Caenorhabditis elegans: one gene and its partner. The protein of the gene in region 1 interacts with the protein of each later gene in a pairwise test. Each region holds a gene or a part of one and is shown on either strand. Other genes may lie near its edges. The genes, in order: hum-8 and rad-23.

Region 1 (5,034 bases):
ATCTTTGAATGCTCCCCCTGTGCTCAGTTCTGATATTTCGCAGCTAAAAACTTACATTGTACTGTTTCTCAGCATGGGATTTCACATGAAACAAGTTTCGCTCAAAAAGCCGCTGGCACCTTCAGACCCTTCCCTAGTTAGTTTTAGATGAAAGTAATTTACATAGGTTAACATATAAATCTTCAAACGCTTTTTCAAATATTTTTCTATGTATTATATTTTAATTAAATAAGGAGTAATGGCTGTGGGTACTATAAAAAATCAGCTCAAAAATGGGCAAATTTTGTTGTTCTAGATTCTTCTTTCTGTGTAAACAAGTAGTTTTAGCAGACATTTTCGAGATGTTCTCAATTTACTTATTGCTGAAATTGAGAATGTCTCGAAAACGGTTTAAAAGAGTAAATAAAGCCCACATTATTCGAAAAGAAATTCATTTCAAAAATCGAGCCCCGTAAATCGACACAAGCGCTACAGTAGTCATTTGAAAAATTTCTGTAGTTTTTCGCTACGAGATATTTTGCGCGTTCCATTTTCTAGGTCGCTCACCTGCATAATCCTTGCACACAATCCCATCTTCAACTCCATCGTTTCGAGACCCAAAAGCCTGGCAGCTTGAATTAAATCCTGCTCACTTCCATTGAAAACTTTACATCCACCTCTTGAATCATCCAAACTTTCCTCGAACTCAACATTTCCCAAGTGAAGAATTGCGGCGATTGTAGTCCAAATGAAATGTATTTCTTGTTCCGATAGTCCAGTTAATTTCAGAGCGTATTCTAACCGCTGAAAATCCGAAAAATCGTCCACCATTGAATCCTGGGTGAACTTGGGGTCCGATAGCCGATTTTTAGGGATTTTTGAAGTTGTACCAGATGAAGGATGAGTGAAGAAACCAATGAATCCACGTTTAAGGTACTACAATTGACAAATCCATTATTGCAGTTGATTGTAATTCATTCGTTTTAAACAAAATTGTATGAAAACCTACATTAAACTGATTAGGTTGACCTAATGCCAAGAATTTGAAAAGTTCCGGTGAACTTCCTGCAATCAGTTGATAGAAAATATGATAATTACGTTCTCCAGCTGCTTGACGACATATTCTCGAAGTTTCCAGAAGATAATGTGAAACATAGCCACCTGCCACGTTTCCCTACAAAAAACCATGTGTTGACCGATTCATCAATGGTACTCACGGTATCCGCAAAATGAATTTGCACAAACTTCCCGAATCTACTCGAGTTATTGTTACGTAACGTTTTAGCATTTCCAAATGCTTCCAAAATTGGATTCGCTGAAAATTTTAAAGGAATAATTTTGATAGTTTTCAACACCAAAAACAACGTACTTTCCAACAATCTCTTCTGAATCTCTCCGGCACCAGAACCCCAATTCTCACATAAATACCTCAAAACTGCTTTCTGTGATTCAGTTTTTCCTGCTCCTGATTCTCCAGACACAATAATCGATTGAGATTTACGATGTCTGATCATTTCTCGATAGGATTTATCGGCAATCGCAAAGATATGCGGCTCCTTCTGTCCAAGAGACTTTCCACGATATTCCTTGATTTTTTGCAAGGAGTAAAATCCATCAATAGTTTGATATGGGTTAATTGATATGAGAATGTTGGCCACGTAGGACTGTAAATTTGAATTTAGTTCAAAGTTTAAAGTTGGCTAAAAGGTGGAGTAGCGCCTGTCAGGAAATTGTTAAAAACCACTCCTATGTTGCCGAAATGCCAAAATATCACGTTAAAACTGAGAAAACATTTTACATTTTTTTATTTTTTTGAGAAAACTATAGCATGTTCGAATCACTGCAATGTTTGAATAAGAACACTTGAAACATAAATAGAGCATAAAATTCGATGGAAATTTATTTAAACTGTTATTTTTTTCAATTTTCAAAAAATCATATGAAAATTAGAATTTTTTTAAAACAATTTTTCTACTATGATATTTGGCCATTGTGGTGAGATAAAAATGTCTATTTAAAAAAACATACATAAATCTTTCCATTTTGATATCTCAATCTAATATTATTCAATAATGTTGCCTCATTCAAATGCATCAGTTGACAATTATCTTCCACGTGTCTTCTTGAGTCATCTTCGCAAGCCAAAACATCTTCAAAAACTCTTGTCACAGTATCACCAGTATTATCCAAAAGGCGAAGTGTGAATCCAGTTGCTGATAAATCAATTATACGGGCGGCACGGAACCCGTCTGTTGCATCTGTTATCCACACTGTTCTTCCATAGTCCGGAGGAGGCTGAGACACTGAAATCATGGAGCGACATTATGGATGGAGGTCTACTGTATTCAGTGTATTCAATGTATTCAATTGATATCTTGCCACGTTTTACTATCAATTGACTAATTATGGAATATTATCCAACAAATATCTACATCATTTTCAATATGCTACTCTTCATTAGCTCAAATATAATGTTGCAAAATATTATTTCAAACTGTAGTTATTATCTCGTTAGAAAAACTGCCACCTACAGTATTCTCAAAAAACAACATTCAGTTAAAAAAAATTAGGTACGATGCAGTTTTTGCATTGATAACTTGATAAAGTTTTTACTCAATTGTGAGGTTTCATTAAAGGTATATTACCGAAATTTTTAAATTTTTAAATGATTCCAAATTTTCCTCTGATTCCAAATTTCTGAAGTAAGTGAAAAAATTCAAAGACCTTTCCCTGATTTCATATTTCAGCTTGAAATCGCGACTTTAATTTGTGCAAGAGTTTTTTCAAACATCGAATTATCGCGAATAATATTTTGTAAGCCTCAAAATGACAAGAGAAGTTGAATAAAAAGTTACGATGTGACCAAGACAAACATTGTGAAAATGAATAAAAAAGTTGAAAACATTGTTTTAAAAACAAACCATTTATTCCAACTTTTTCAGCTCTTCTCTCAGTTTTCTTAGGATCCACAATGTCACGTGGAATTGTTTTCGGCTCAAATGTCCCAATGCCACGTGACTTTTGGGAAGAAGACTGAGCCGATGTTTTCAAAATTTCCGGAGGCGGTTTAGGAGGTTCCGAATTTTCTGTGATTTGATGTTTTTTGTTCAACGTTCGTAGCATTTGTTTTTCTGGAAAAAGTAATTTTTTGTAAGTAAAAAGTTGTCGAAAAAAATTGCAATAAGGACATGATGATGTGAGAATAGGGTGGAAAATTGTGTTCGATGTGTTGACTAACATGTCAAATTTCATGAGAAAATAGTGTGTGATTGGCGAAATCAGACACAAGAGTACACATCAACAGAGGCACCTGCGAGCACCTTCGGTTTCACTGATAAGGAAATTGATAAGACTCACTTTTTGAAAAAAAAAATTGGAATTTAGTTTTTTTGTTGAAATTTTATGGCGAATTTAACATCTTAACCGGGGGTGTGCGGCAGGGGTGTGCGGCAAATCTCAAAATTTGCCGAGCTCGGCAAATTCGGCAAATTCGGCAAATTTGCCGTGCTTAACAAACTCGGATAAATTTGATATTTTTTATGTTTTTTGGAGCACCAAAACTACTGAATTCTTAACACACATCTGGTTTCTGAATAAGTTCCGCGTAGTATGTCTGTTTAAGCATCAAAATAGCTTAATTTTGTGTCATTTTACTAAATTTTTGGCTAAAAAATCAATAGTTTTAGTCAAAATTGTACTGTCAAATTTTTGACGTGTGCGGCAAATTTCGAAATTTGCCGAGCTCGGCAAATTCGGCAAATCTACTTTTTTGAAATTTGCCGTGCTCGGCAAATTCGGCAAATTTGCCGAGCTCGGCAAACGGCAAATTCGGCAAATTCGGCAAATTTGCCGCACACCCCTGGTGTGCGGCAATCTCAAAATTTGCCGTGCTTAACAAAATCCAAAAAATGTGATATTTTTTGCTGTTTTTTGGAGCGCCACAACTACTGAACTCTGAACAAACATTTGGTATCTGAATACCGTATTTCTTCTATTAGTATGACTGCAATGCCATTTTTCGATGGTCTTCCCGCTTGCAATACTAATAGGGAGTGCAATACTAATTTTCAGAACATTTTTTTTGACTTTGAGCTTACTAGTTTTTTCTGAATAAACTCGAATCTTATGTAAAAATTCAGAAAATATGATTTTAATTGTAACATATAAGCTTAAAAATTTCAATCTCAAAAAAATTTCAATTTCAAAAATTTCAATGTTGTGAGAAACTGTTGCAAAATAGGCAAAAAATGTTGTTGAAATCCTCAAATTGGCGAGACGGGTTTGCAATAAAAAAGTAAACGCAAGACTATTAGGGAGTGTAATACTAATTTTCGGAGGGTCTCCGAGGGGTAATACTAATAGGGAGTGCAAGTCTAATAGGGAGACCATACTAATAGAGGAAATACGGTAAGTTCTGTGTCGTGTATCTGTTTAAACATCGAAATAACTTAATTTTGTGTCCTTTTACTACAGTTTTGGGGACGAAATCAATAGTTTCGGTCAAAACTGCAATGTTAAATTTTTGATATGTGCGGCAAATTTCGAAATTTGCTGCTCGGCAAATTCGGCAAATCTTCTTTTTTGAAATTTTCCGTGTTCGGCAAACGGCAAATTCGGCAAATTTGTCGCCCACCGCTGACCTCTCCAGAAGTGTGCGGCAATCTCAAAATTTGCCGAGCTTGGCGAATTCGGCAAGTTCGGCAAATTTGCCGTGCTTAAAAGTGGTGTAGTCTAACTTTTTAAAAATTACTTTATGAGACTAAAAATTGTCTGAAAACGCTGAATTTCATACTGACCCTTCTGTAAAACTTCTCAAAAAAAGTTATGGTCAAAAAAAAGTTAAAAAGTTATAATTTACAAAATCTCTTCGTCCATCGACTTTAAAATACTCAAGTCGAGTTGAAAACGCAAGATTTGAATTAACTGGTATAGCCAGTTGGCCAAATTTACAGTGCACGACAAATTCGGCAAGTTCGGTAAATTTGCCGAGCTTAACAAACTCCTAAAATGTTATATTTTTCAAAGTCTTTAGAGCACCAAAACTACTGAATTCTT
Region 2 (4,286 bases), on another chromosome or scaffold:
CGTTCAGCCTTTTCTGAATCAGCTTTCCGATCTTTTTCTCCATTCCAATGAACAAGTGATAAATATCGACATCCTTGTGGAATATTCGCATCACATGCGATTTTCATCGGTCGAATCATTTTTGACAGACTTGCATCGTCTCCAACTTTTCCGGCTAACATGTACATTCCGTACTTGAAACATGACTTTGGATAACTGTTCTCGTCACAGTTCTTCTTGAAAATCGCTACGGCCGCTTGAAAATTTTGTTGCAGAGCTTCCATGTATTCGCCGAGCAATTGACAGGATTCTGGCCTTTTTTCCTGAAAATTTAACTTCAAAGAAAGATTGAAAATTCAAATTTCTCACTTCGTAGCATCCAAATCTGTACTCAATCCCAATATTTTTCACATATTCCGCCCTTTCGGCCTGTTCCTGCATAGCTTCTTCGCTTATTTTTCCAGACATCTTCAAGTAAAGTGAATTAGCGCATATTCAGAAGAAATGAACGACCGATATTGGAGTACGAAATCGTGATGACTCATTGGGTAAAGTTTGATAAATCGAAACGAAGAATCATTAAAACATTTGACTTTCATTTGAAAATGTTGGATGACAAAAGGGAATTACAATACCGAAATTATGTCACACAAAATTCGCTGAACGCGACGAGAATTTCAACGAAGTGCCTACCAGTAGCGGGTGACAATCAGCACATGGAACTGAATGTGTTATTATCTTAAATATATAGACAAAGGGCAATCGAGAAGGCGATGAATACACATTCTTGGAAGAAGTGTTAATAAAAAAATTAGGCTGATAGGAGCAAGAATATAAGCTTTACGGAAATGGGGGAGAGAGAATAAATTAATTTCTGTTGCAATTTCCAGTGACGGTGATCAGAAGTTATTGGCATGGGTAAGATAATTATTCCTCATCCTGAAATAATTAAAAATTAAACTTCTAATTATCTACGTATGGAAATAAACTCACGAGGTTGCTGAAAATAAAGTTGATAGCGGCTTCCTCGTTTTTGTCACATGCGAAATAAGCCTCCACAACCACAGCTTCTGGTGCATTAACAACTATGGCTTTGATTCTCTCAATAGCAGCAGCTTCTTCGGGACTGAGATGGATAACATGGCGACGTGGGGTGTTTCTTTCTGGCGCATTTCCTGCAGCGGCTCCGGCTCCTTGAGCTCCACCATTCAAAAGATCCATGAAAGCTTGCTGGTTGTTCTGAATAGTCTGAACAAGTCTTGGGTTGACAGCAGCCAACTGCTGAAGGACTGCGGCGAGCATTTCAGGATTTTGTTGAATCAAAGCTCTAATTTCTGCAAGCTGTGGCATGTTTGCAAGCATGTTAAGATCGTCATTGCCATCCTCATCCACGTTATCGATGTTTTGCTCGGGCCCCAAATCTGGTTCTTGGTCAGCAGCATCATCAGGAAGTCCGTTGAGAAGAAACTCGACTGCGCGGTCTGGATTCCAGAATGCTGCGCGCAGAGCAGCGATAGTTTGTTCACGGTCATAGCCCATTCCAGTGATTGCGAGAACGTTCTCTTCTTGCTCATCCGTAAGCGCCTCCGCCTCAGCAGGAGCAGCAGCTTCAGGAGCAACATCGGCAGCTGGGGCTGGGTTTGACGCAGGAGCGGCAGCTACTGGAACAGGCTCAGCAGCTGTGGCAACGGTAGATGAAGGTGCAACTTCTGTGACTTTCCTTTTGCTGAGCATCACAACAACGAACTTCGAAGAATCGAATCCGACTTCTCCGACCTTCACAGAATCGTCGAGAATCTAAAAAAAAAACATACTTTAAAGATATTATGAGCCTTCACTGTAATACCTTTCCGTTGTAGATTAATTTTTGAAGTTCTGGAGCATAATCATCCCCTTTCTCCGAAGCGACCAGAGCCTTTACTTCCGCAATCTGAAAGAAAAATAAAATACAAGTCGAACATTAACTCTAATCTTACCGTCTGATCTTCATTCAATTCCAAATTGAAGTTAACTTGTGTGAGAGTCCTGAATGTAACGGACAAAACCATCCTGCAAAAAATTGTGAAATGTTACGAATAGAGTCATGTATTGAAAGAAAAAGAAATAAATATCGATAACAGATTGATATTAATGCAAAACAAGCAGTATATATGTATAAAATAAACAAACATTTGATTATTAATAAAAGAACAAAACAAAAAAACCATTTTGAAGAACAAAATAAGTGGTAAAAAACAGAAGAGAAAATGGCTTGGCGTCTTAAAGGCGCACATGATTTGAACACTCTTCGTGGCGAGACCTGCCAGAATTGTCATTGTGTCGATTTACGGAGAATGCGTTTATTTCTTTTTTGAATGTTTTATTTTTATTTTTTAACTTCACTTGTGTTTATCGTGAACTTTTATCTTCGATTTTATCAAATTAAAACATTATTGGATTTAAGAAAATGTCTGCCGCCCATAAAAATCTTCTGGCTGTGTGGGCAAAGGAGCCAAAAGATCTTGTCGCAGTTGAGAAGGCTCTGAATGAGTTGACGGTCAGTTAATTGTTTGTCAAATTGTAAATAAATTGAATTTTCAGAAGGTTCTCAGTGCCTCCAGCGATTTGAATGATAAACAGTCTGCATTGGCTTCAAAGTAAGATTTTTCTTTGGTGTAATGAGTTTAAATTATTAATTTTCAGAGATTTGTACGAGATTTCGGTGCTCTTGGCAATTCTGAAGCACGATTTCGAAACGTTCGACGATTACATCAATCAGGTGAGTCTTTAAATAATTATTTGGAAAATTTATGTAATTTTTAACGATCTGTAAATTATTTTTAATTTTCCAGATGCATACCTACTATACAATGGCGCCAGAAAATTCTGAAAACAAGCATTTAATGACTGGACTCCATCTGATGTTCCTGCTCGCTGCCAACAGATTGTCCGACTTCCACATGCTCCTCGAACAAATTCCACAGAAAGAGCAAACATCAAACGCTTACATCTCTACGCCAGTTCGTATTGAACAGAGTCTCATGGAAGGAGCCTACAACAAGGTTGTGCTCACCGAGAAGAATATTCCAAGCCCCTTCTACACTATTTTCATTCGTATTATGCTTGACACCATCCGTCGCGAAATCGCAACATCTATCGAGAAGTCTTTCAAAGTTCTGACAGCGAAGGATGCCACGGTCATGCTTCTGTTCGACAATGACGAACAAATGAAAAAGTTTGGACAAGAGGTAATAATGATTTTTAAAGCTACAAGTATTAAAAAATATATTTATTTACAGAGAAAATGGCATTTGGATGGAGAGCGTTACGTTTTCGAAATTGAGGTGGCTCAGGAGAAGCCTGTGAATTTGGATACAGTGCGAGTCGCAACTCAAACCCTCTTCTACGCCAAGCAACTCGAACAAATCGTTTAACCGGTGTCTTTCAAGAACTCAAGCATTGTATTTGTAAACTGATTTTAATTTATTCGCGTCTTTTTCTCGGTACTGTAAGAAAATGAACTTTCCGATGCATTGTTTTAGCAAGTTTTAATTACATCTGAAAATTTTATTTGCACAAAGATTTCTGGAATGAACAAGAACATCTATCAATATGATATACCAAAAAAAGAAGTTGGAAAAATTCGAGAAAAAATACATAGAGGGACAAAATACAGTGAATTCGAGTGTCTATTGTTTTCAACAATATATACAGCTAGATGAGTAAAAAAAAAGGACGAAAGATTTAGTAGATTCTGAGAGACAGATAGATAAAGCGTGCCAACTTGGTTGACTCCTTTCCCGTATTTTCTGATTACCACACAACACAGCGTTTCGTTGGATTCATCGGAGATCCAGCTGGACATTTGAAAGCCTCGGCAAATTCTGGCTGATTTGTTAGAACCGTGTTCACTCTGAAAAAATTATAAATAATTGTTGCCAAAAAAGTTGAATGAACGATGATGTGTATTGCGTAACATATTTTTGAATATCTTGTAGCGAAAACTACATGTAAATAGTAAATCGTCTACTTATGGAAATAAACTCACGAGGTAAATCTTTAAATGACTACTGTAGTGGTTTCGATTGTTAAACGAAAAATAAATAAATTTCCGAGCCCGTAAATCGACACTACAGTAGCCCTCTAAAAAGTTACTGTAGTTTTCGCTACGAGATATTTTGCGCGTCAAATATGTTATGTAATACGCATTCTCGGAATTTAGTGTTTCAGTAATACCTTGCAGTTTCTGGTGAGTGAGGATCAGTGAGTAGCAATAAAGTCTTGGTCTCTGGCGTCTTGGCTCCACACCAAACTTGAGCATATCCAAC

The links.
Region 2: the proteins of hum-8 (region 1) and rad-23 interact in a two-hybrid assay, tested with the Caenorhabditis elegans proteins (2 studies listed by BioGRID).

What each region holds. Positions count from the first base shown.
Region 1 is NC_003282.8:437,443-442,476, forward strand, and holds the start of hum-8 (Myosin motor domain-containing protein), read right to left. Parts: upstream 3,113-5,034; 5' UTR 3,103-3,112; coding exon 2,901-3,102; intron 2,283-2,900; coding exon 2,008-2,282; intron 1,644-2,007; coding exon 1,349-1,643; intron 1,295-1,348; coding exon 1,197-1,294; intron 1,154-1,196; coding exon 989-1,153; intron 916-988; coding exon 547-915; intron 1-546.
Region 2 is NC_003280.10:11,650,702-11,654,987, forward strand, and holds rad-23 (UV excision repair protein RAD23), read right to left. Parts: upstream 2,029-4,286; 5' UTR 2,028-2,028; coding exon 1,956-2,027; intron 1,910-1,955; coding exon 1,826-1,909; intron 1,777-1,825; coding exon 973-1,776; intron 919-972; coding exon 907-918; 3' UTR 561-906; downstream 1-560. Other genes in the region: coa-7 (Cytochrome c oxidase assembly factor 7 homolog), read right to left, coding at 1-302, 349-447; rpn-12 (26S proteasome non-ATPase regulatory subunit 8), read left to right, coding at 2,426-2,515, 2,560-2,615, 2,662-2,737, 2,811-3,206, 3,258-3,392; nep-1 (Neprilysin-1), read right to left, coding at 3,772-3,871, 4,195-4,286.